Linked DNA regions of Struthio camelus. The protein of the gene in region 1 binds, or shares a complex with, the protein of each later gene. Links are inferred from orthologs where the notes say so. Each region holds a gene or a part of one and is shown on either strand. Other genes may lie near its edges.

Region 1 (11,080 bases):
TGGGGGTGAGAGCAGGCGGTGTGGGGTGCCTGGACACCTGAGTTTCTCCGCTCTCTGGCAGGAAAGGGAATACAAGTAGCTGGTGCCGGGATGGCACCCGGACGCCTGGGCCCTCGCTGCTCACCTCAGCGCCCGGCTCAGCTTGTCGTAGTTCATCTGGGGCTTGCACTTGCGGACGCCCCAGAGCCGGGCCACCTCGTCAGGGTCCTTGATGACGAACTCGCCGTAGTCGCCCTGCCAGGCGATGACGTCGTGGTATTCCTCCTTGCGCAGCAGCTCCAGGATGAAGTGCCACAGCTGGATCTGCCGCGAGCCCGGGCTCGACTCCGGCTTGTACGCCCAGTCCGGGAAGGCGAAGCCTGCGGCGGGCGGAGAGGGCTCAGCCGGCACAGGGCCAGGCAACCCAGACGCCCGGGTCCCCCATGCCACGGGGCAGAAAGGTGGCCAGACGCCTGGATCCCCTGCGCAAGGGGCAGCCTGGATGCTGTGGTCCCCTGTGCAGATTTGGGACGGGCCATGGGCAGCCTGGACCCCTGGGTCCTCCAGAAAAGGCCAGGGAAGCTGCCCGGACGCCTGGGTCCCCCTGTGCAAGGGGCAGCCCGAACGCCTGGGTCCTCTGGGACAACCAGGGAGGCCGCCCAGACACTTGGGTTCCCTGCACCGTGGGGTAGAGGGGCAGCTGGACGCCTGGGCCCTCTACGCCATGAGGCAGGGCGGCTCGGATGCCTGGGCCCTCAGCGGGGCTGAAGGGGTTAACCCCCCCACCCCATCCGCAAGGTGCGCGTCACCCCGCCGGGGACCTGGCGGGGAGGGACCCGGGGTGGGGGGGGGACAGGAAACCGGCTGCCGCCGCCGGCCTCTCCCGGCACCGCCAGGCTCCCGGGCTGCCGGCCAAGGCCGCCGGCTGCTGCCAGCCGGGATGGGGGGGGCCCCCCCACCCACCCCATAGCCGCTGTGGGGCGGGGGGGGCCGTGCCAGGCGGCCCCCGGGCCGGGGCTGAGCTCAGCGTCATGCACAAGGGCCCCTTTATGAGTCCGCGGCCGGGCCGGATTCCCGGGAAAAGGCGCCGGGTTGCGGGATGGGAGATGGGGGGGGAGGGGGCCGTTTCCCGGCTCCCGGGGCCCAGGCGTCCCCGAGCGCATCAATAATGCAGGGCCCTAATGGAGCTGCCGCCGCCACGATGAGCTCAGCTGCCTCCCGGCCAGGGGGGGACGGCGCCAAGGGGGGGGGACCCGAGTGACACCCCCGCCCGCCAAAGCAGGGCATCCTGTGCCAAAACAGCTCGTTTTCCCCCCAAAATCACGTCTCCAGGCAACGGGGCAGACGCTAAAAATAACCTGCCAGGGAGGAGGAGGAGGAGCAGCAGCAGCAGCCCCCCCGCCGCCACCCACAGCTGCCCCATAGGCAGCCCCCCCCAGGGTAGGGGGCACCCCATAACTGCCCCCATGAGCAGCACCCTCACCCCATAACCAGCCCCCATAATTGGCCCCCCTCAGGGTATGGAGTGCCCCATAACTGGTCCCCCCAGGCTATGGGGCACCCCATAACTGGCACCTCCAGGCTATGGGGTGCCCCATAACTGCCCCCTCCATAAGCAGCAACCCTGGCTTATGGGGCACCCCATAACTGCCCCCATGAACAGCACCTTTGCCCCATAACCAGCCCCCCCGGGTATGGGGCACCCCATAAGTGGCCCAATAAACAACAACCCTGGGCTATTGGTGCCCCATAGCCCCATACCCCCCCCCACGCCCAGCCTCACCCCATGGGCTAGTGGCACCCCATAGCCCCCTCTGGCCACCCCTCCCCCTCGTCAGCACACTCGGGGCCTGTTCTCGCTAATTAGCTGGGAGGGGGGAAGGGGGGGGCTGGGACGTGACATCAGCGGCGGCCGCGGCCCCATCAATGGACCACTGTTCCTGGCCGCCCCCCCCAAGTCCTGCGGGGGGGCCATGGGGCCCAGGCATCCGGGACGCCCCCCAGCCCACCACAGCCCAGGTGTCCGGGACACCCCCCAGCACAACACGGCCCCGGGGGCCCAGGTGTCCGGGGGTTCTCGCGGCCCCGAGCTCTGCACAGCCCTTGGAGGGGGGCACGACACAGGTGAGGGCCCCCCGCACACACGTGTGCAAGCATGTCCTCCCCCACACACACGCGTGTGCGAGAGTGACCTTCCCCCCACACATGCGTGCGAGCTGGTGTGTGCGCCCCCACCCCCCACACACGCGTGTGCGTTGCGCCCCCGCCCCAGCGCCTGGAGCACGCGTGGGCACCGGCCCCCCCCGCACACGCCTGCGCACACGCCCGCGCACACAAAGCACGCCCTGTCCGCCGGCCGTCCCGCTCCAAGTTTCCTCCCCGCCCCCCCCGAGCACGCCTGGGCCCCCCGGACTCGTGTCCCGTGTCGTCGCTCCCCCCCTGCATTGCATCACCCCCCCCCCGGCCCCACACATGGAGGGAGGTCATGACGATGAGCCCCTCGGGAGGGGACACACAGACCCCCAAGTCTGACCCCCCAGATAGGGGGAACATGTCCCCCCCCCCAATCCCGTCCCGCACGTGGGACCCACCCACCCCCCCCTTATTGGGGGTCCCCCACGCGGGGGGCAGAGGATCCCCGGCCCCCCCCAAACCTCACACCTGGGGAGCACAGGGACCCCGGCCCCCACACTTGGGGGGCGCCGGGACCCCCAACTCTGCGGGGGGGGTCACGCCCCGCCCTTCCCCCCCCCCCGCGGGGCGCAAAGTTTCGGCGAGTTCCGCGGGGGAGGGGGCGGGGCCGGGGCGGGGCCTGCCGCGGGCGGGGGGCGGGGCCGGCGGCGGCAGGGGTACGGGGCGGGGGAGGGGACAAGTTTGAACAGGAGCGAGACGCGCTCCAGCCCGGCCGGATTCCTGCAGACAATCGGGGCGGGGGGGGGGGCACCGCAGCGCCCGCCCCCCCCCTTAAGGTGGGCCGGGGGGGGTAAAGTCCGACCCCAACCTTCGCCTCCCCCTAACACGTTTCAGGTGGCACCGCGCGGGGGGGGGGCGCCCCCCCACGGCGCCGTGACCGCTAGCCCGCCCCCCCAGCGGTGTTGGGGGGGGTCACGACGACCCCCCCCTCCCCGCCCCCAGCCGGCGCCACCTTAAACCCTCGTTGTTTGTCGGGAACAAAAAAAAAGTTCCCAAAAGGCGCCGACGGCAACTTGGCGCGGGGGGGGAGGGGGGATACGGGGGGAGGGGGGACACGACCCCCCCGCCCCCTCCCCGCGGCGCCCCTCCCCCCCGCGCGCACACACAACGTGGCACAGCCCCCCCCGCGCCCCTCCCCCCCGGGAAAAACACCCCCCGCGGGAAAACACCCCCCCGGTGGGGATAAACACCCCCCCGCGGAGATTCCCCCCGCGAATAAATGCCCCCCCCCCGCGGGGATAAAACCTCCCCCGCGGGGATAAACACCCGCCTGGGCAAATAAATGACCCCCCCGGGGGAACAAATACCCCCCCCCGCAGGCGCCTGGTTATGGGGGGGCCCGGCCGGCGCCGCCGCTTCGCGCGAAGCAACAGGTCCCGGCGCCGCCAACTCCGCCGGAGCCCCCCGCCCCCCCGCCGGGGGTTCCTCCCCCCCCCCAGCGGCCCCCCCCTTTAAAAACAGTAGTAGATCCGGGCGCGGGGGCGGCCGCCCACGTGGGGCGGGGGGGGCCCAAAGTTTGTGCGGCGGCGGCGGGGGGGCAACTTTCGCCCCCGTCAACCGGCGCCGCCGCTCTTCTTCCCCCCCCCCCCGCGGCGAAATAAAATTACAGATATAAAAACTTCCCCTCCCCCCGGGTAAGTCCCCCCCCGCCCCGGGGGGGGGGCGCAGTCCCCACCTGCGTCCGCCGGCGTCTTCATGGCTCCGCGCGCTGCAGCCGCCGCCGCCGCCGGGTCGGTGTCGGGCTCGGCCCCCCCGCCGCCCCCCCCCGCCGCCGCCGCCCCCCGCCCTCCCCGCCAGCCCGGGACGCCCACGCCCCCTGCTCACGTCACCGCCGCGTCGCCATGGACACTAAGCCCGCCCCCCTCCCCCTCCCGCCACCGCCTCCCCGCCCGGCCACGCCCACGGGGGGAGGGGAAGGAGGGGGCGCTTAAAGGGGCCGCGCGGGGAGGGGCGATGGGGCAGAAAGGGGCAATGGTGTAGGAGGGAGGCACATGGGGCAGGAGGGGGCAATTGGGGACAACGGGGTCCATGAGGCAGGAGGGGGCAGATGGGGAGGGGTGATTGGGACAGTGACATCTGGGGCAGGAGGGGAAAGGGGGTCCCCATGAAGACCCCTTCTGGGATCTGGGCTGAGACCCGACAAAGCTCATGACATGCAGGCCCGGCGTGTTCCACACGCAGCCGCAGGGCCAGGCCAGGAGGCAAAGGCCCCAGCACGCGAGGCCCTGGCATGAGCGGCCCCCGTGGGGGGTAATTAACCTCCCAGGTTGTTTTGCCTCGTTTGTGCTGGCGGCTGATGCAACTCCCCAGCGCCCGTGCACCTTGCTGGGCCGCTTGCACCCCCGGCCCTTGCACGTGCCCGAGCACCAGGCCTTGCGCACACCCGTGCACACACCCTTGCACAGGGCCTTGCACGCACCCCTGCACCAGGTCTTGCACGTGCCCTTGTCCAGGGCCTTGCATAAGGCTTTCTGCGTGCCCTCACATGTGCTATTGCACGGGGCCTCGCACGCACTCTCACACAGAGCCTTGCATGGAGCCTTACACAGGGCCTCGCACGCATCCCAGCATGGGGCCTTGCACTGCCCTCACACGTGCACTCGCACGCTGCCTTATGGGTGCCATCGCACAGGCTGTCACACGCACCCCTGCACCAGCTCTCGCATACATCTCTTTGCAGGACCTTGCACGGGGCCTCGCATGCGCGGGGCCAGGGCTGAGCCGGGAGGCCGGAGGCGGCAGCGGGCGCCGGCTGGGGGCCGCGGGCCGGGGCTGGTGCCGCCAGGGCCGGGCCCCGGGTTATAAATAGGCGCCGTATAAATAATGCAGCTTCCCCGACTATAATTATCGGCTGGAAGTTTGCGGTGCAGGAGATGCATTAAGCGGCTACCCCTCCCCCCCACCCCAAATCCTGCCCATTTACCCCGGCCAGGGGAAACTGAGGCACGAGGGGCACTGGGCCCCCTCACACGAGGGCCGTGCAAAGCCCCGCCGGGCCCAATTAAAACCTTATCAGAGCCCGGCTGATAACAGGGTGGGGGGGGGCAAAAGCCGCTCTTAAAGGGGCAGCGCAGCCCGGGACCTCCCCCCACGCCGTTGCACGGCGCGCGTTCCCACCCCACGCCTGCGCGTGCCGCGTGCACGCGCCCGTACGCAAACCCCTCGGCAGTGCGCGGCACGAGCGCACAGGCCGCGCGTGCACCCTTTCCCCCCTATGCTGTTGCACGGCACATGCACGCCCCAGTGGGCCCGCCCCACGCGGGCGCAGCCCACGCCGTTGCACGGTGCACGCGACCGCCCCGCGCCGCTGCACGGCACGTGAGCTCGCCCCATGCGCGCCCGCCCCACGCCGCGGCAGCGCGCGCCGCTCGGGGCGTGCCAGTGCGCGTGCGTGCGCGGGGCGGGGCGGGGCGCGCGGGGGCGGGGCGGGGGCGGGGGCGGGGGCGGGGCTCCGGCAGGCTCCAGCGTGTCACACACGCCCCGCGTGCGCTCCTCCCCCCTCCCGCTCTCCTCGTTCCCCGTCCTGCCGGAGGCGGGCGGCGATTGGCCCGCGCTGGCACTGCCGCCACCCAATGGGAGCGCCGAGCGGTGACCTCATCCCTCGGCCGCCCCGGGGGCAGATTGGCTGGCCAGGGCCCCGCCCCCGGGCCCCACGTGGGGAGTGTGGGGGGGTGCCCGGTCCGGCCTCTGATTGGCCGGGCGTCTGTCGGCGGCGGCTCCGCTGTTGCTGAGGGGAAGCGCGAGGGGCCCGGACGGGGCGAGACGGGGACCGGGAGAGGCCGCCGGGTGAGCTCATGCATATGCTAATGAGATGCAAATGACATGCAAATGGAGCGCCCCCGGGAGGGGCGGGGGCGGGCGGGAGGGGAGCGGGGGGGCGCGGGGAGGGGGCTGCTGTCCCCTCCCCCCTCCCCGAGGAGTTGGACTCCCCGGCCCTGAGGGGCGGGAGGGGGAGGAGGAAGGGGAGGGGCCTCCGCGTGGCATGCCGGGACCTGTAGTCCTTCCCGCGCGCCCAAGCCGGGGGCGGTGCCCGCGCGGGACTACAACTCCCAGCGGGCCGCGGTGCCGCGGGGCCTGACGGGAGCCGTAGTCGCTTCCCTGCCCGGGACACCTGAAGGCAGGGGGGGCCGCTATCGCCACCTCTTGCGAAGCCCCGCTCCCGTCAGCCCCCGCGCCGCGCTGCCGGCAGGGAGAGGTGCGAACTACAACTCCCGGCAGGCTTCGCGCGGGGCATGCCGGGAGCCGCGGCCACCTCCCCGGCCTGCCAGGCGGCCGCGGAGGACCACCTCTCCCAGGCGCCCTTGCGCGCCCCTTCCCGCATCCTCGCTGGGGCATGCTGGGAGCTGTAGTTCTCGCCCACCGGCTTAGGCGGCGCCGCTCCCGCGAGGAACTACCCGTCCCGGCAGCCGCCGCGCGGCCCCGCGCTTCCTCCTCGCGCAGCGCCAGGTAAACAAGTCTGGGCCTAGCCTCGCCCCGCCCCCACGGGGCCTCCATTGGCTACTGTATACGCAGCACCTCCCCGCGGCCCCCAGCCGCGCCTTCTCATTGGCTACTGTAAGTGCCGCTCGAGGGCGGAGGGGCGGGCCGCGCCGCGCAGCTGTCCCGCCCCCGCGAGGCGGCGGTTGGCCGGCAGGAGTGACAGTCTGAGGGGGCGGGCCGAGACCGGGCCGTGCTGCGCGCCGGTTGGCCGCGCCCGCCGCCAGTCGGGCGGTTGTGGCCGTCGATTGGCCGGCGCCGCCAGCTGGTCCAGATTCATTCACCATTTTGTCGGTTGGAGTAAAAGGGGCTCGGAGGGGCCCGAGAGGGGCTCGGGCTGGACCATCCCGCGGGGGACAGGGGGGGCCGGGCTGTACCAACCTCTCCGCAGAGCGGGGGGGAGCGGGCTGCGCCAGGCTCCCCCCTCGCACGGCGCGGGGGGGGCGAACAGGTAATGGGGGGGGCACTGGGAGGTACCAACACCCCCGAAACTGGGGGGAGGGGGAAGGTTGGGACGTACCAACTCCGCCCCCTCAAAAACTGCAAGGGGGAGCGGTAGGGGGGCACCGACACCCCCAAAACGGGAAGTGTCCCAAAACCTCCAAATAGTGGGTGTCACTATTAGGGACCGACCCCCCCCGAATTTTTTTTTGGGGGGGAATGGCCAAAAGTACCCCCCCGGGAGGGGGTTGCTGGGACATACCACCCCTCTCCGGGAATGGGGGGGTTGGGGGCCCCCCGGGGTTACCGGGCAGGGGGGCAGGAGGGACCACCCCACTGGCTGGGGGGGCAGGATCCACCCAGTCTTCCCTGAGGGGGACCGGGGGGGTGGTTGTGGGGGGGTCACGGAGAGGGCAGACATGGCCCTGTGACGGGGCTCTGGGCCCGGGGGGAGAGACCTTGCTGGGCCGGGCCTGGGGAGCTGCGAGCAGGGGCCAGTGTCCCCCCTGCCAGGAACCAGTGCCCCCCAAGGGGTCGATGTCCCCCCCGAGGGACCAGGTGACCCCCCCAGGGGCTGCTGCCCCCCCCCAAGGTGCCTCCAAGGGGCTGCTCCCCCCAAGGGATTGGTCCCCCCCCACACCCAGGAGCCACTCCTGGGTGATGGTCCCCTCCTAAAGGTACCAGGACCCCCCCAAAGGGGTTCGTCCCCCCTCAAGGGGCTGTTCTCTCCCCCAAGGTGCCCCCCCATGATACCATTCCCCCCCCAGGGGGCAATTCCCCCCCCAAGGGGCTAGTCCCCCCCCCAAGCTGCCCCTAAGGGCCAATTTCCCCCCCTGATGATGATCACCCCCCTCCAGGGGCAATTCCCCCCCCCCAAATGCCTGATTCCCCTCCCAAGATACTAGCCCCCCACTAGGGGCCACCCCCCCATATTCTCCCCCCCCCCACCCCGGTGTGCCCCTATGCCACGTAGAGGCCACAGGCCCAGCCCAGGCATTTTGATGACCCCCCCTGACCCCCCACTTTAACTCTCTCCCCACAGCTCCCCGTGGCTGAAGCCCGGCCTGGCAAGAGGAAGATGAAACCGGTGAGGAAGGCCGGCAGCTCCTCCTCCTCTTCCTCTTCCTCCTCCTCTTCCTCCTCGTCCTTGTGCGGGAGCAGCGGGCGACTGCCGCCCACCGGCCGCCCCAAGGTGCCCAAGCGCCGTGCACCCGAGGGTGCCGCCAGCGGGCCAAAGCTGGAGGGCGAGGAAGACGGCGGCGGCGAGGAAGCAGCGGCAGCAGCGGTGCAGACGGATCCAGGGCCGCGGGACGCCAGCGGCGAGGAGCCGCCGGGCAGCCGCAAGACGGCCACCTTCAAGGCCCGGGCACCACGCAAGAAGCCACCAGCGGGCGAGGAGTGGAGCGGCGAGGAGGAGGAGGACGAGGAGGCCGAAGGGGCGCCCGGCCCGTCCTCCTCCGGCACCGACACGGCCAGCGAGCACTCAGCCGACGAGGCGGGCGGCCCTGGCCGGGCGGCGCTGCGGCGCCTGCGGGCGCAGCGGGTGCTGGCGCGCCGCCCCGGCGGCCTCTTCCAGCCAGCGGTGGTGAAGCAGGTGCGGGAGCGCGGGCGGGAGCTGGCCGTGCAGTTCGCCGGCGAGCGCAGCCTGACGTACTACGCGGCGGCGGCCCCGGACGTGGTGCTGGACGCCGCGCCGCCGCCAGGCACCCTGGCGCTGGGCACGGCCGTCTGCGCCCGCCTGCAGGAGGAGGAGGAGGAGGACGGCGGCTACCGCGAAGGCACCGTGGTGGAGATCGGCGCCAAAGCCACCTGCTACCGCATCCGCTTTGCCGGCGCCGCTGCGCACCGCGACACGGCGTGGGTGCCGCGCTCCGACCTCCGCCTCCTCCGCCCGCCCTGGAGCCGGGAGCCGCCGGCCGAGCCGCCGGATGAGGACGAGGCGCCGGAGCCGAAGCAGCCAGAGGACGCCGAGGTGTGCAAGATCAGCGCCGCCGTGCGGGCGGACAGCGACCCGCCGCCGCCGCCGGTGCCGCCGCCGGCCGCCCGGCTCCTGTCGCCCCCCAAGTCGCCGGCGCCGCCGCGGCTCAGCCCAGAGGCAGGTGGCAGCCGGGCGCCGTCCGAGAAGGGCGGCGTCGCCTCGCGGTGCCGGACGCCGCTGACGGCGGCACAGCAGAAGTACAAGAAGGGCGACGTGGTGTGCACGCCCAACGGCATCCGCAAGAAGTTCAACGGCAAGCAGTGGCGGCGGCTGTGCTCGCGCGACGGCTGCATGAAGGAGTCGCAGCGGCGCGGCTACTGCTCCCGGCACCTCTCCATGCGCACCAAGGAGATGGAGGGGCTGGCCGAGGGCCGGCCCGGCGGGCCGCGCGACGGCAGCGCCGAGTTCGACTGGGACGAGACGTCACGCGACAGCGAGGCCAGCGGCGGCGGCGGTTCCCGCGGCGGCGACTCGCGGCCCCGCTTGGCGCCGCCGCCAGCCGACTTGTCCCGCTTCGAGTTCGACGAGTGCGAGGCCGCCGTCATGCTGGTGTCGCTGGGCAGCTCGCGCTCGGGCACGCCGTCCTTCTCGCCCGTCTCCAACCAGTCGCCCTTCTCGCCCGCCCCGTCGCCCTCGCCCTCGCCCCTCTTCGGCTTCCGCCCGGCCAACTTCAGCCCCGTCAGCGCCTCGCCGGTGCTGCAGCGGGCGGCCGCCCGCAGCCGCCACGTCAGCGCTGGCGCCCCCAAGGCCGGCGAGGGGCTGAGCCCCGAGGCGCTGTCCCACGGGCCGCCCCGCGGCCGGCACGCCTCGGGCGTCGCGCCCACTTTCCAGACCAGCCTCGCCTTCACCGTGCCCGTCAGCCCCGGCAAGCGCAAGGCCGAGCCGCCGCCGCCGCCGGCCCTCGACTTCCACAAAGCCGAGGCGGACCTGGGGGGCGGCGGCGGCGCGGGGCCCCCGTCGCCCTTCGGCGCCCGCCCGCGCCAGCCGCCCTCGCCGCTGCTGCTGCTGTCGCCGCCGGCCGGGCTGACGGCGGAGCCGGGGCCGGCGGTGCGGCGGGTGCCGGCGGTGCAGCGCGACTCGCCCGTCATCGTGCGCAACCCCGACGTGCCGCTGCCGCCCGCCAAGCCGCCCGACGGCCCGCGCCTCCTCGGCAAAGCCGCCCGCGACGCCCGCCCCGCCGCCAAGGGGCAGCTCCAAGCGCCCGTGCCCATCAACGTGGGGCGGGCGCATGCCGCCGCCGCCGCCGTGGGGCAGCCGGGGCCGTTGCCCCCCAGCGGGGCCGGGGCCGGGGCTGGGCCTGCCGCTGCCGCCTTCGGGCTCTCGTCGCCCTTGCAGCCGGTGGCCTTCCACCCGTCGCCTGCCGCCCTGCTGCCCGTCATCGTGCCCGGGGACTACGGCGGCCCCCCCGCCCCCCGCAAGGAGATCATCATGGGGCGGCCCGGCACGGGTAGGAGGCCAGCAGTGGGGCGCGGGAGCAGGGGGGTGGGAACGAGGGTCGCGAGAACTGGGGGGGGGGTGGGAACGAGGGGGGGGCAGAAACTGGGGGGGTGGCGTGGGAATGGGGGGGCAGGAACCAGGGGGAATGGGAATTGGGGGGCACAGGAACGAGGGGCGCGGGAATAGGAGGGATGCGGGAACAGGGGGTATATGGGAATGGGGAGTGTGGGAACAGGGGGGTCGTATAGGAACAGGGAACACGGGAACAGCCCAGGGGAGCGTGAGAATTGGGGGGTTCCTGCACACGCTTGGCCCCCCGCATGTGGGTGCATGGCCGGGGTGGACACGTGTGTGTCGGCATGCGTGCGGCTCGGGGGTCGTGACGCGCATGGGGTCGGCGGGGGCCATGGTGCTGTTGGGCCACACGTGTGTGGGAGTCACAGGGGCTCGGCGCAGCGGCGGGAGGCGTGTGTGCGCACACATGTGTGCCCGCAGGGCCAGAGTGGGGCAGTGTGGCACGTGTGTGGCGTGTCGGTGCCCCAAGGCCAGGCTGGGGTCTGCGACCCATGACCAAGC
Region 2 (11,155 bases), on another chromosome or scaffold:
AATCTGAAAACTCCTCCCAGTATCGCTGTTTCCCATAGCGAACATCTAGCACCCTCAGACTAAACTCCTTTTGTAGTCATCTCTGGATCAGTTTCACATTTGAATTTCTCCATTCAGAAATATCTCCCACTGTAGAAATGGTATTGCCTACCAACACAGCATCAGCAATGTGTGATCTTGCTATTTTTTGTGCTATAGATCATAAGCAAGCTCGTTACCTCAACAGAAAGCTCTACTCTCTTATTAGCACCAGAATGTGCAAAGAGGGAAATGGGAGATCACTCTCTCATTGAGGTTTCTCCAGAAGATAAAATTTCCCCTGGGTAATCTCATCCCTGTAGTGTAGGAGGCAACCCACTGCCTCGGTACCTGTTTCAGTAGTCTTGAGCTTTTTTTCTTGCTTGTAGCTCCATGGTTGCTCATCCTGCATATCTGAGGCTTTCTATAATGTTAATATATGTAGTTAAGTGATATAATTTGCATTAGCATGGGCCATCATTAAGCAGCTTGCTTATAATGACGACACATAAGAATGATGGTAAAAAACATATTTCAGTAAAGCAAAAATGCTGTATGTTAACCACTTCAATTAATTTAATTATTAAGATGCATGTATAGTGCCCTGTTCTTGGCTTGACAAAGTGTATTTCAGCCTGGTACCTATAAATATACGTCACCCCCTATTGCACTAAAGGATTATTCCATTCTATATGTAAGCCTTTATTAATTGTGCACCAGGTACATAATCACGACTAGCTAGGGATCTAGCATGCATTTTTCATAGTCCTCAAGTTTCTGATCTTTGTATAAGGAAGACAGTGCTAAGCCCTAACTAAACTTATAACCAAGAATCTTGTCATTACAAACTACAGAAGAATTCAATACATACACATCCTACTTCCAGCTTAAGGTGATCGAAGACCAAGAACTCTTCAATACTGAGTTTGAAAAAAATACCATATCTTGAAACAAACTTATTTTCGGAGACTTCCTATAAGCTTTGTTTTAGCCTATAAAGTTCACGTGAGAAAGGATAGTTACATCACATCTTCCCACAGCTAACTTTGGCTAACCACTTATCTACTTTCTTTATACCTCTGTCTTTTCTGTCTCCTCCCTTTACTTCCTTTATTCTTATGGTTTGCTTACACTGGGAATAATCTGCTAACTATAGCTCTGTTGCTATTGCTCCCTTAGCAGACACACTATTTCAGAATGAAAGCGGCTTTTTTTCTAGAATGGAGTTTCCACGTAGGGAATTTCCCTAGCTTACCTACAGTGGTATAATTATTAATAATTCCTTTACCAGTCAGTTTCCCTATATAGGCAAATACTTGACTTTCAAGTACCTATTGATGCTAACATTATATATGGCATAGAACAAAAAAAAATTCCCTACCATCTAGCATATATAGAGAACTTCATTGGATGCTTTCAGATCCAATGCCGGTCTATTTTTTTCCAACTCTATCAGCTGATCTAGTAAGAGATATTACCTCTCTGCACCAGCTTTGCCTGCTTACACCCCTGGGCCGTCACACCTACGCAAGACTAGGAAACCAAGCTAATCATAGTGGCCCGCAGCAACCTGCCTGTGGGCCTTGAGCCCTTCTTCATACCTTAAACATACTGTTAACTACACTGCCTGCCACCAATCACCCCCCCACCTTGTGTAATCTGGTTGACTGATGTCACATCTCCCCTTTGGATAACGTGCATTCATAAGGCAGCTGCAGGGGAAGAAGATGGAGATGAAAAGGAAGAAGTGCAGAGATCAAAGGCATAACAGAAAGAGCTTTCTCTGAATTTACTAAACAACCAACTGATGAAGTACCAGTGCACCTTTATACATTTCTGTCTTGCTCCCCAGTGCCCCCTTCCCTCCAATACTACTCACTCCCTTAAAGCCATGCTAAACGTGTAGGGTTTATGCTTTCTGCCCTATGCATTTCATTTTTATGTCTTGCACACCCATTCCTCCTACCTGCTTTCTCAGTTGTCACTGCCATTGCAAAATAGCAGAAGAGACAAAAATCTATACATATCTTTTGCAATATAGACATTTTATGAAACTAGCAATTTCATAGCACCACAACGAATTGTTCATGGATGCGGGACCTTAATGGTACAATCCCATAAACTGGGTAATTTTTCTTGGATAAAAGCAAGCCATATAATTAGAAAAGGGAACTAGTTACTTGTAATGAAAGAATAATCAAATCATCATTAAAAGGAAATTAGCTGCATTTATCTTAATTCTATGGGCCCTACTGTTACCTCCTGAGAGAAAAAGCTTCAGGAGGATAAAATTTACTTGACAGTCTCAGTGACTTTTGCCACTCCTGTTTGTTCATGCATGAGGGCGCCGTTTATTATGTTTTGGCAGAGCAAGTTGCATTTAACTGAGAAAAAGCCATTAAAAGGCTATTTGTTTCCTTTCCTTAAAAAAGGTACACCTCACCTTTCAGGGATTGCATTTGGCTCCATCTGGCTCCCCTGTCCTCCCACTTGCAGCTCACTATTGTTGGGACAGAGCCAGGGAAGAAAGTAAGAGAGGATCTGCGAAGGCTTTGTGTCTAGCTAGAACTGTGCACAGTCTTGCTGAGCAGGAATCCTCTGTGGCTCTCTCCCAGGCTTTGGAGTCACTTCACATGAGGTTCACAGGACCTGCTTAGGACTAGTACTAACATACCTCTACTTTTTATGCTAACAGCATGAAGGGAACTGTTCTGCGTTTAGCCAGCATCCTCCCTCACCCAGAGGCCAAAAGGAGGAAAGGCAATCTATGTGGGTGTGTGTGTGGGGGGGGGTAGAAACACAGATAAAGTAAGCTTGATTCTACTCCCCAGAGCTCTTTCCACTCTTCAGTACCACATGATACAGAAGGAAAGGATGCAGAGAAATACTGTTACGTGCAATAATGTGATACCTGTTTCACCGCAAGAGAGAAGCGGAATCTAACAGTAACTACTGTAGGTATGAGTGAAGAGAAAGTGTCAGTCAAAGGCTCAGATTTTACTCTCAAATGTGAGCAACATTTCCCATGTCCCTCCCATCTCATTTGAGTAATCTGTGGCAGAGACGCAGAGATGCTGAATATCAGCAGGTACACCTGAAGTCAGTGGGATGTGAACTTTCAGTATACATTGAATATTATAAAGTGTTTTCTACTCTGGAATTGAAGGTCTTCCATTTCTCCATATATGTATCTGGAAGTGCTGATATTTTCCATTTCCTGAATGTAAGATAGGATAATACCATCCATTTCATAACCCTGTTACAGAAATAAAGTCATTAATGTTTAGCAGGATGATAGCACTCCTGAAAAGCCTTAAAGGAAATTAATAATTTTAGATTCAATGAAATGTAATGCTGTGCAGGAAACTGTACATTAAAATATACATGCAATAAGCATTAAAAACCATATTAACTAGAAACACAGAATTGTAAAGCTTCTGCAGTTTAGTCTCCTGCTATCTCAGGTGACTACATCACAAAATCCTTCTTATAAGCTGTCCGCCTTCAGAGCAGGTGGGCTTCTTGCCCTCAATAAAAGAAAGCCGTTCCATAACTCCATTGCTCTGAGAAGCCAAGATCTTCTAATTCTAAGCCTAAATTCCTTAATTGACAGTTTATACACATTTGTCTTCAGTTTAAATCACAATTCTCCCACCTTGTTATTTATTGTACTCCTTTTAAGACAACGTAAAATCTCCCTCTTAGCTTTTATATTGCTAAACTAAAGGCAGGAAATTCTTCTAGCCTCCTCTCATAAAAGCTCTCCCAAGAATATCATCCCTACTGTGAGAGAGGGTTCCTCTGGGGAAACTAGCTTATGGCTAGGTCATTAAAGACCATATCACGATGCAGTCTTAAGGCATATAAATCCACAGGACCCAAATCTGAACAAACCTAGACAGCAGCCACAACACCTAATAGGTCTGAAGCCAGACACAGGCCATGCAGCTGACCTGCACATATAAAGCAGACTCGATACGTGCAGGTAAGTCTGGACTCATTGCACAGCTGATATCAAGTCCTCTGTGCCTATGACTTGCTATGCCCAGCATTTCCCAGTTTTTTTATGATGGTCCTGCATCTCTTAATGCAAGCTTACAACGGGTGGGAGAGAGGTGTGAACTAAATTGTATGGCAGACTGTAATTCTAATATTTTCCTAATTTTTGAGGAGGGACAGTGAAGGAAGTAGTCTTGATTAGATCAGCTTTGCCTTTCATTAGGTCAGATTTGCTCCAATAAAATCTACTTATCCATGCTTTGTAGGTGACATTGTTTTATTTCTGATGGAGACGTGACATTAATCAAGAAAGGTTCTGTGCTGCCACTGGTCAGTTTTGATTTAGTGATTTTTTATTACCACTTTCACTTCATATGTGAATGGGGGCGATCATTAGGCACTTAAGTGAAAATATCCTATTGACAAGGAAGAATAAAAAGGCAATGTAAAATTGTAGCAAGTTGCCAGGACAGTAATTTCTGGGATAAGTTATATATTTCCATAAGGCTTTATGACAGAATTTCATTAACTTTGAACAGAGTATTATCAATAGGTCCTTTGCTATAATAGAATAAATGCCCAAACTTACATGGCAAGGACAAATAATGGTTTCTTCACAGCATAGACCTAATTTCCACATATATAATCTCAGTCCTAGTCCAAACAAAGATCAAGAACTTTACAAGCTGAGACAATATCCTGAGGTTGATTCAGAGAATTCATCATCCCATCTGGATGCTGAAGTTGCTGAACATTACTATATTTGGCGATGCTGAAATCAAAGGTGAGAAATTTCGTCACTTCAACACAGAGACTTTGTAGTGCACAGATATTTGTGAACCCAAACTAGCCTAAGGCCTGACAGACAGTATCTGATCCACTCCTGGATTTTGTATGCTGAATGTTGTGGCAAACAACACAAACCCACTATCTCTTTACCACTTCCTCTGAGACTCAGGCAGTATGAGTCTAGAAAAAAATCATGCTAAAGCATGAAGAAGACCATCCAATTAGCGTTTCGAAAAGACAAGCAGCAATAGTTGCCTCACATCTATTAATTCATGGCTGGAAAGCATTTTATTATTCAGTACGTAACAGCACGAACCTAAAATTCTAACCTCTGTCCATTGTATCTCTGACCTCTTGAGAATTAACTCCAGATGAAAGGAAAAAAAGCAAATATATTGACTGTCGCTTGTGCCAAATGCTTGTCTTCCCCTGCCCACGGCCTCACGACCACAGGAATATTACATCTCTAAAATCAACTTTCCTCTCACCCAGACCCTAAGGGCAGAGCACAGTCATGATAGCTTCATATAAACGGCTTCTGAAATCTATCATTGAGAATACTGCATGTCAGGATAAGCGTCTCCAGGGCCAGAGCAACTAACTATTCCTGACAAAAAGAAATTCCTCCAGACTCTACCATTAGGTCGAGAAACAGGGAGGAATGTATGACAGACCTTATTGGTCCTTCCTCCTCTCTGGCCTCAGGAAAACACACCTCATCCTAGACCAGTGGCTCCGAAAGGGCATAACTTCCTTTGTCAGAGACACCCCACTCTCACCCTATCATTATCTTCATTCCTCTGCTGTGAGAGCCCAACACCGGGCTCCGTGTCCTGCAGTCAGGGAGAACTCAAGCCCTGACTGTCCATTTGCCCCGGGGAAAACCGCGCACCTAGCCACGCAAGTGCACGCGGCGAGCGCGGCCCCACCAACGCCGGGAGCCCAACAGCCTCCGTCAACGGCTTCTGCTGCTGCCGACCGCCCAAAAGAGCCGTCCCAAAGCCTCCTGCTCCTCCATCTCCCGAAGCCGGCGCCATCGCCGACCCCCGCGCCCACGTCTGCGCCCCAGCAGCACCGCAGTCTCCGGCACCTCTTCCCCAGGGCCGGCGGGCCCCTCGCCCGCCGCGGCCCTCACGCACCCTGTCAGCGGCGGCGCCGCCGGCCCGGCCCGGCCCCCGCGGGGGCCCAGCGCTGGCCGCAGCGACCTGGAGGCGGAAGAGCAGCCGCGGCCTTTTCGGGAGGCGGAGGGCGCGCGGCCGCGGGGGAAGGGGGGAGGCCCCCGCCTGGCGGCCCCCTGGCAGAGAGCCCCCGCCCCGCCGCGCCCCTCCCACCCGGCAGCGCCCGGACGCTTCCTCCCCTCCCCCCGCGGCGCGCGCCGCGGCCCCTCGCGCCACCACGGCCGCCCCCCTCCCCCCCGCCGCCGCCGCCGCCGCCGCCGCCGCCGCCGCCGCCGCCGCACGAGCCGCCCCGGCCGCGCCCCCGCGCTATCTCGTGCCGCGGCCGAGCCCCGGCTGCCAGGGCGAGGAGGTGGTGCGGCTGGGGGGAGGAGGGGGGCACGCCAGCGGGGGGGGGAAGGGGGGGGTTGTAGCAGCATCACTATGGCGACAGTGACGTCATCTCACCCTGGATCTAATTGGAGGAAACCCCGTGGCCCCAGCCGCAGCCCACGGGCCAACCGAGCTTGTGCCCTGCCTGCGCTCGCCCCCGCGGCGGCGCGCTGTGCTCCGATTGGCTGCCGGGGCGCGAAGGGGCGGGGCCTCGGGCGAAGAAGACGCTCTGATTGGCCGCGTGGGCGCGGGTTGAGCAGCGGGTAGGCTTGCCTGTGCCAACGCCCTTTAGCGCTGGCTCTTGCCTGAGACGGGAGCGGCTCTTTCTCTCCGCCACAGCCCCGAGCGAGGCAGCCGATCCGGTGGCGCCAGCCGGCCCGGCCTAGCGCGCGGACTCAGGTGAGCGGGGCGCCGCGCGCCCGCCGGCGGGAGGGGGCTCCGCGCCACCGCCGCCGCGTCCTCCATTTTGTGAGCGCGGCGTGGAGTCCTCGGCGGCCCCGGGGAGCGGGAGGTGCCGCCAGCCAGCGCCGCCATTTCGCACCCGGCGGGGCCGCCGGCTTCCTCTTTCCGCCCCGCCGCCGCGGGGCCAGCCTCCGGCCGCCTTCGCCTCTCGCCCCGCCACCTCCTCGCCACCCCCCTAACCCCCCCCCCGCTGTCCCTGGGGACGCGGCCGGCCGCGGCGTGGAGCCGCCGGGCCCCCGCCCTCGCCGGGGCCGAGACCCCACCCACTGCCGTGCCACAGCGCTCCCCGCCCGCCCGCCCGGGAATGCGGAGCCGCCGCCGCGCCCCCCGCGGCGCTGGGGGCCGCCGTCCCGGGGCCGGAGTCGCCGCCGCTCCCGCCGCGGCCGGGTGGAGGCGGGGAGGCCCCGGACCCTGCGGCGCTCCCCCGCCCTGTCGCCGCCCGCCGCGCCCCGCCGCCAGGAGGCGAAGCTGCCCGGGGCCGGCCGCCCCGCCGCGCCCGGGCCTCTCCCGGCTCCCTCGGCCTCGCCCGCCCCGCGGGTCTCGTCGAGCGGAGCGGAGCGCGGGAGCCCGAGGAGAGACGGGTCTCCTCGCCGCGCTTCCCGTCCTGCACCTGGCCTGGCGCCCCGGGCCTCCCTCGCTGTTCGCCGGTTTATTTTTAAACCGTTCCTTGGGTTCCTAGGGGCAAACTTATCGCTGGGGTTTTTTTTTTGTTTGTTTGTTTGTTTCTGGGGAGGAGGATTTCTTTTTTTCCTTGCTGGTTCCAATCTCTTGTAATGGCTTTGGCATACCCCCTCCTTTTTCAGTGCTCACCTGCAGGGCAGATGGTGTACAGGGGATGGACTTTGGGCAGGGCTTACTGGTGGCTAGATATCTTTCTCCAGGTTCTTGCTAAGCAGTGTGTTAATTTGTTCACTTGAGGTAAGGAAGGGAAGCAGAGTGAGGACAAAAAGGCAGCTCTGAAAAGATAGCTGTCTCCAGCACTTGGTCTTTAGGCTGCTTCCCTCTGGGTAGAGCTGAGTATGCCTTCCCCAGTTCAGTTTCTAGGTCGCCATTTCCCTAGGGATGGGCCCTTGAGACTGGTGCCTCTCCCCCTAGCTCTGCATGGAGGAGCAGGATGCTGCCAGTCCTTCAATCCAGGAAACGCTCCTGGAGATGAGGAAGAGGATACAAGACTCGCTACAGGCCTAGTTATGAGGAGCAGCATAAGATCATGTTCTGTATCACTTCAACCCAGAGTCATGGTTACTGTCTTCTTTCTGGCAGGTTTTCAGGGCGTTCTCTTCTTGACAGTGTGACATCCCCAGCTTCTCCTGCTTTTGCTACTCTACTGCTCTCACCCCTCTGCCAGCCACCATGGATAAGACCGAGTTGATCCAGAAAGCCAAGCTGGCTGAGCAGGCTGAGCGCTATGATGATATGGCCACCTGCATGAAGGCAGTAACCGAGCAAGGTGCTGAGCTTTCCAACGAGGAGCGCAACCTGCTCTCTGTGGCCTACAAGAACGTAGTGGGTGGGCGGCGCTCTGCCTGGAGGGTCATCTCTAGCATTGAGCAGAAGACAGACACCAGTGACAAGAAGATGCAGCTTATCAAGGACTATCGGGAGAAGGTGGAATCTGAGCTCAGGTCCATCTGCACCACTGTGCTGGTGAGTGGAGTTTCTTTTGCCCTCTCTTTTCTTCTCTTTGAGAGAGAGAAACAGTATTCATGTATGCTGCTGTCCTGAGGAGTAAGACTGTGAACTTGGCTGAGGAACGTCATGCACAATATCATGCTGTGGTAGGGGAAGTCAGTGCAGTAACTTCCGCAACTGTTGTGAGGGTTAGCGTAAGGAGGAAAATCGTCTGCGCTGCTGAGGAGCATGTCTGTGCAAAGGTATTTGAGACCCACAGACAGTGTTACTCCATGTAATTGCAGAGTCGCAGAGGATTTGGTCTCATGTCTGTTTGCACTGCGGTTAGTAAGCTTATCTGTTCATAAGATCAGCGGAAAACAAAATGATACATGAATTTTTTTCTTCAGATGAGACCTAGTACATTGTTAAAAGCATTTAAAGTAACTGGGTGTGTGTTTCTTTCACTTAGTGTTTCTTTGCAAGAAACAAATTCTCCAGAGGTCTTTAAGACATCTTGAAAACTTTCCTTTTACGTAAAAGTGTGAGTTTATAAAGTAAAACATCATCTTCAGTGAGCGTAGAAATAAAGATCTGCAGAAATTGGCTTTGTCATGTTCAAATTGACTTTTCAGTGGATCTTTACAACGAAGTTGCGGTAGTTACAGAATAAGGTAAGACCATGGTTTGAAGACTGACATAATACACCTCAGCAGGTGAAGAAGCCCAGTAATACAGAATTTACTCTGCTATAAGGAGCAGAATTCCAGGTGCTATTAACAGTGAAAGTACACTGTGCTGTGGCAGGGGCTGAACGTGCATCACCTTCTTCTACGTGATCAGGGAGTTCTGGCTGCAGGCAGTTGGATAGGTGTAATGCGCTAAGAATTGTGTGGCAAGTAATCTTTAGTAGCTTATTACACCTCAGTTAAAAATGTATTTTTGGTGTCTGGTATTGCAAACACAAGAAGAAGCAAGTCTACAAGGAAATAAACATTTACTGAGGTAAATGAATCCTGAGTTGGGTTAGGATACCCAAATCTGAAGCTGGTTTGTTTGGAAGTAACTGAAACTGCTTCTTGATGCTATGTCGCATACAGGGGAGCTGTACTTCTTGATTGTGCTGAAAATTCTCATATGTTTCTGTTTGGAATTGTTTTCTAAAGAAGTCAAAATGAGTTATCTTTGCTTCAGAGTCATTTGGAAATGTTATTAGCCTAATGAATCAGTTGAATTGATTTCTCAGTTAAGAGTCCATGTCTTTCAAAGAAGCTGTTTCTACAGTTGCAGATATAGGTAAAAATTTCAAAAATTTCAGCTTTGAGAAAGTGATGTTACTTGCGTAGGGCACTGATTCTTCTTTCCTGTGATGAGACTCGCTATAATTAGTGCTGATATTTATGCTCTTCATCATTCCTCTCAACCTCCTTTGTGCGGTGTTCCGGCTTGGGAACTAGTGTCTTGATCTGCACATAAAGCTTATTATTTAGACTTCTTAAGATCTCTTTCCTTATACCAAATGTAGCTCGTAAGAGGAGATTGTGGACAACATCTTGTACTGGTTGCTGCGCCATCTTAACAAGGAGCTCATTCCTTCTGTAAGGAGACTAATTGTCTTTGAAATGGAATGGTAAAGATAGCAAGGCGTTTCATGCAATGTCCATATTGAAATTTTCTGTTGCATCAAATGGTGGACAGCAGGTAGTTTAGTAGCTGCGCTAACACAAACCTTTTAACATGGGGGGGAAAAAAGCTTTTTCTTGTACTGGCTGAGCTCTTTCCTGCATTCCAGTCTTTCTGCTCTGTTCTCAGTTGTAGCCTGGTTGGCACCTTTCTGGTTTACTTCTCCCCTGGAAGGCCGCAGGAAGTAGCGAAGACAGAAACCTACAAACAGGCATGCTTTTCTTGTTCTACCCTCCTGGCCAAGATATGCCTTCCTTTGGGAGAAGGAGATGTCACCGTTTGCCGCTCACCTTCATATTTTTACTTGTCCTTTGAATGCCATGTGCAGTTAGGTTTCTCTTCCTTTCCCCCTTCGTCTACCGCTCCTGTGATCCATGAGTCAGCAACAGAGAGGTTGAAACTCGCAATGGGCAGGCACTACAAAGGATCAATTTCCTAAAGCTCAGTCAAGGTGCTTTTGAGTCCTTCCTCTTGGAGTTATGACTTCATGTTTAGTAATACTATAGAAACTGCTTTTAGTTAGCTTTTTTTGAGTTGAATCTCAAAGATGCTTTTTTAATTCTAAGAAGGCAGCTAAACTGAAACAACTGCTGGCAAATAGCGTGGAAAGGTTGCTTGTCAGCTGGAGTATTTGGATTTAGCAAGGGTGGATGTGCTGGGTGGAGTGTGACTGCTGTGTTAGTCATACTACTAACAGTTTTTTCGAAAGGTTTTTTCATCACTGGTGCAACTCAGCTTTTTTAAAGAGAAATATATCTGCTCTTCTAGAAACCTTTATTTAAAATACTTTCATGAGCATTACAAAATACTACTAATGGTTAATTGAATCTGCAGTCCTCCCTCCCCCCCCCCTCCCCCCCATAAAGGATGCCCCAAGCCAATTAGGTAAGCTATTATTTTTAGGCCATGGTTTGAACTTAGATTTCATCACCGCTAAAATACAAGCATTGAAAATTATGTTGATGGCCTGCTTTAATTGATATATGTAACTTTTACTAATTATTTAATTAATGTACAAACATTGTCAGTGGTCACAGTAAGATATT

Evidence for each region.
Region 2: the proteins of CIC (region 1) and YWHAQ are in contact, whole or in part, in a crystal structure (PDB 6KZG), measured with the Homo sapiens proteins. The link is inferred for Struthio camelus from reciprocal best matches to the Homo sapiens genes CIC and YWHAQ. Residues at the interface, in NP_001291744.1 of Homo sapiens: Arg1207, Ser1208, Met1209, Ser1210, Glu1211, Thr1212, Gly1213, Thr1214; in NP_006817.1 of Homo sapiens: Lys49, Arg56, Lys120, Arg127, Tyr128, Gly169, Leu172, Asn173, Val176, Tyr179, Glu180, Leu216, Ile217, Leu220, Asp223, Asn224, Leu227, Trp228.

Annotation. Positions count from the first base shown.
Region 1 is NC_090980.1:391,002-402,081, forward strand, and holds the start of CIC (protein capicua homolog), read left to right. Parts: upstream 1-5,841; 5' UTR 5,842-5,958; intron 5,959-6,390; exon of another isoform or gene 6,391-6,726; intron 6,727-6,790; exon of another isoform or gene 6,791-7,099; intron 7,100-8,131; 5' UTR 8,132-8,167; coding exon 8,168-10,514; intron 10,515-11,080. Other genes in the region: ETS domain-containing transcription factor ERF, read right to left, coding at 125-359, 3,848-3,869. UniProt on the Homo sapiens protein: Transcriptional repressor which plays a role in development of the central nervous system (CNS). In concert with ATXN1 and ATXN1L, involved in brain development.
Region 2 is NC_090944.1:24,948,447-24,959,601, forward strand, and holds the start of YWHAQ (14-3-3 protein theta), read left to right. Parts: upstream 1-6,437; 5' UTR 6,438-6,752; intron 6,753-8,078; 5' UTR 8,079-8,168; coding exon 8,169-8,462; intron 8,463-11,155. UniProt on the Homo sapiens protein: Adapter protein implicated in the regulation of a large spectrum of both general and specialized signaling pathways. Binds to a large number of partners, usually by recognition of a phosphoserine or phosphothreonine motif.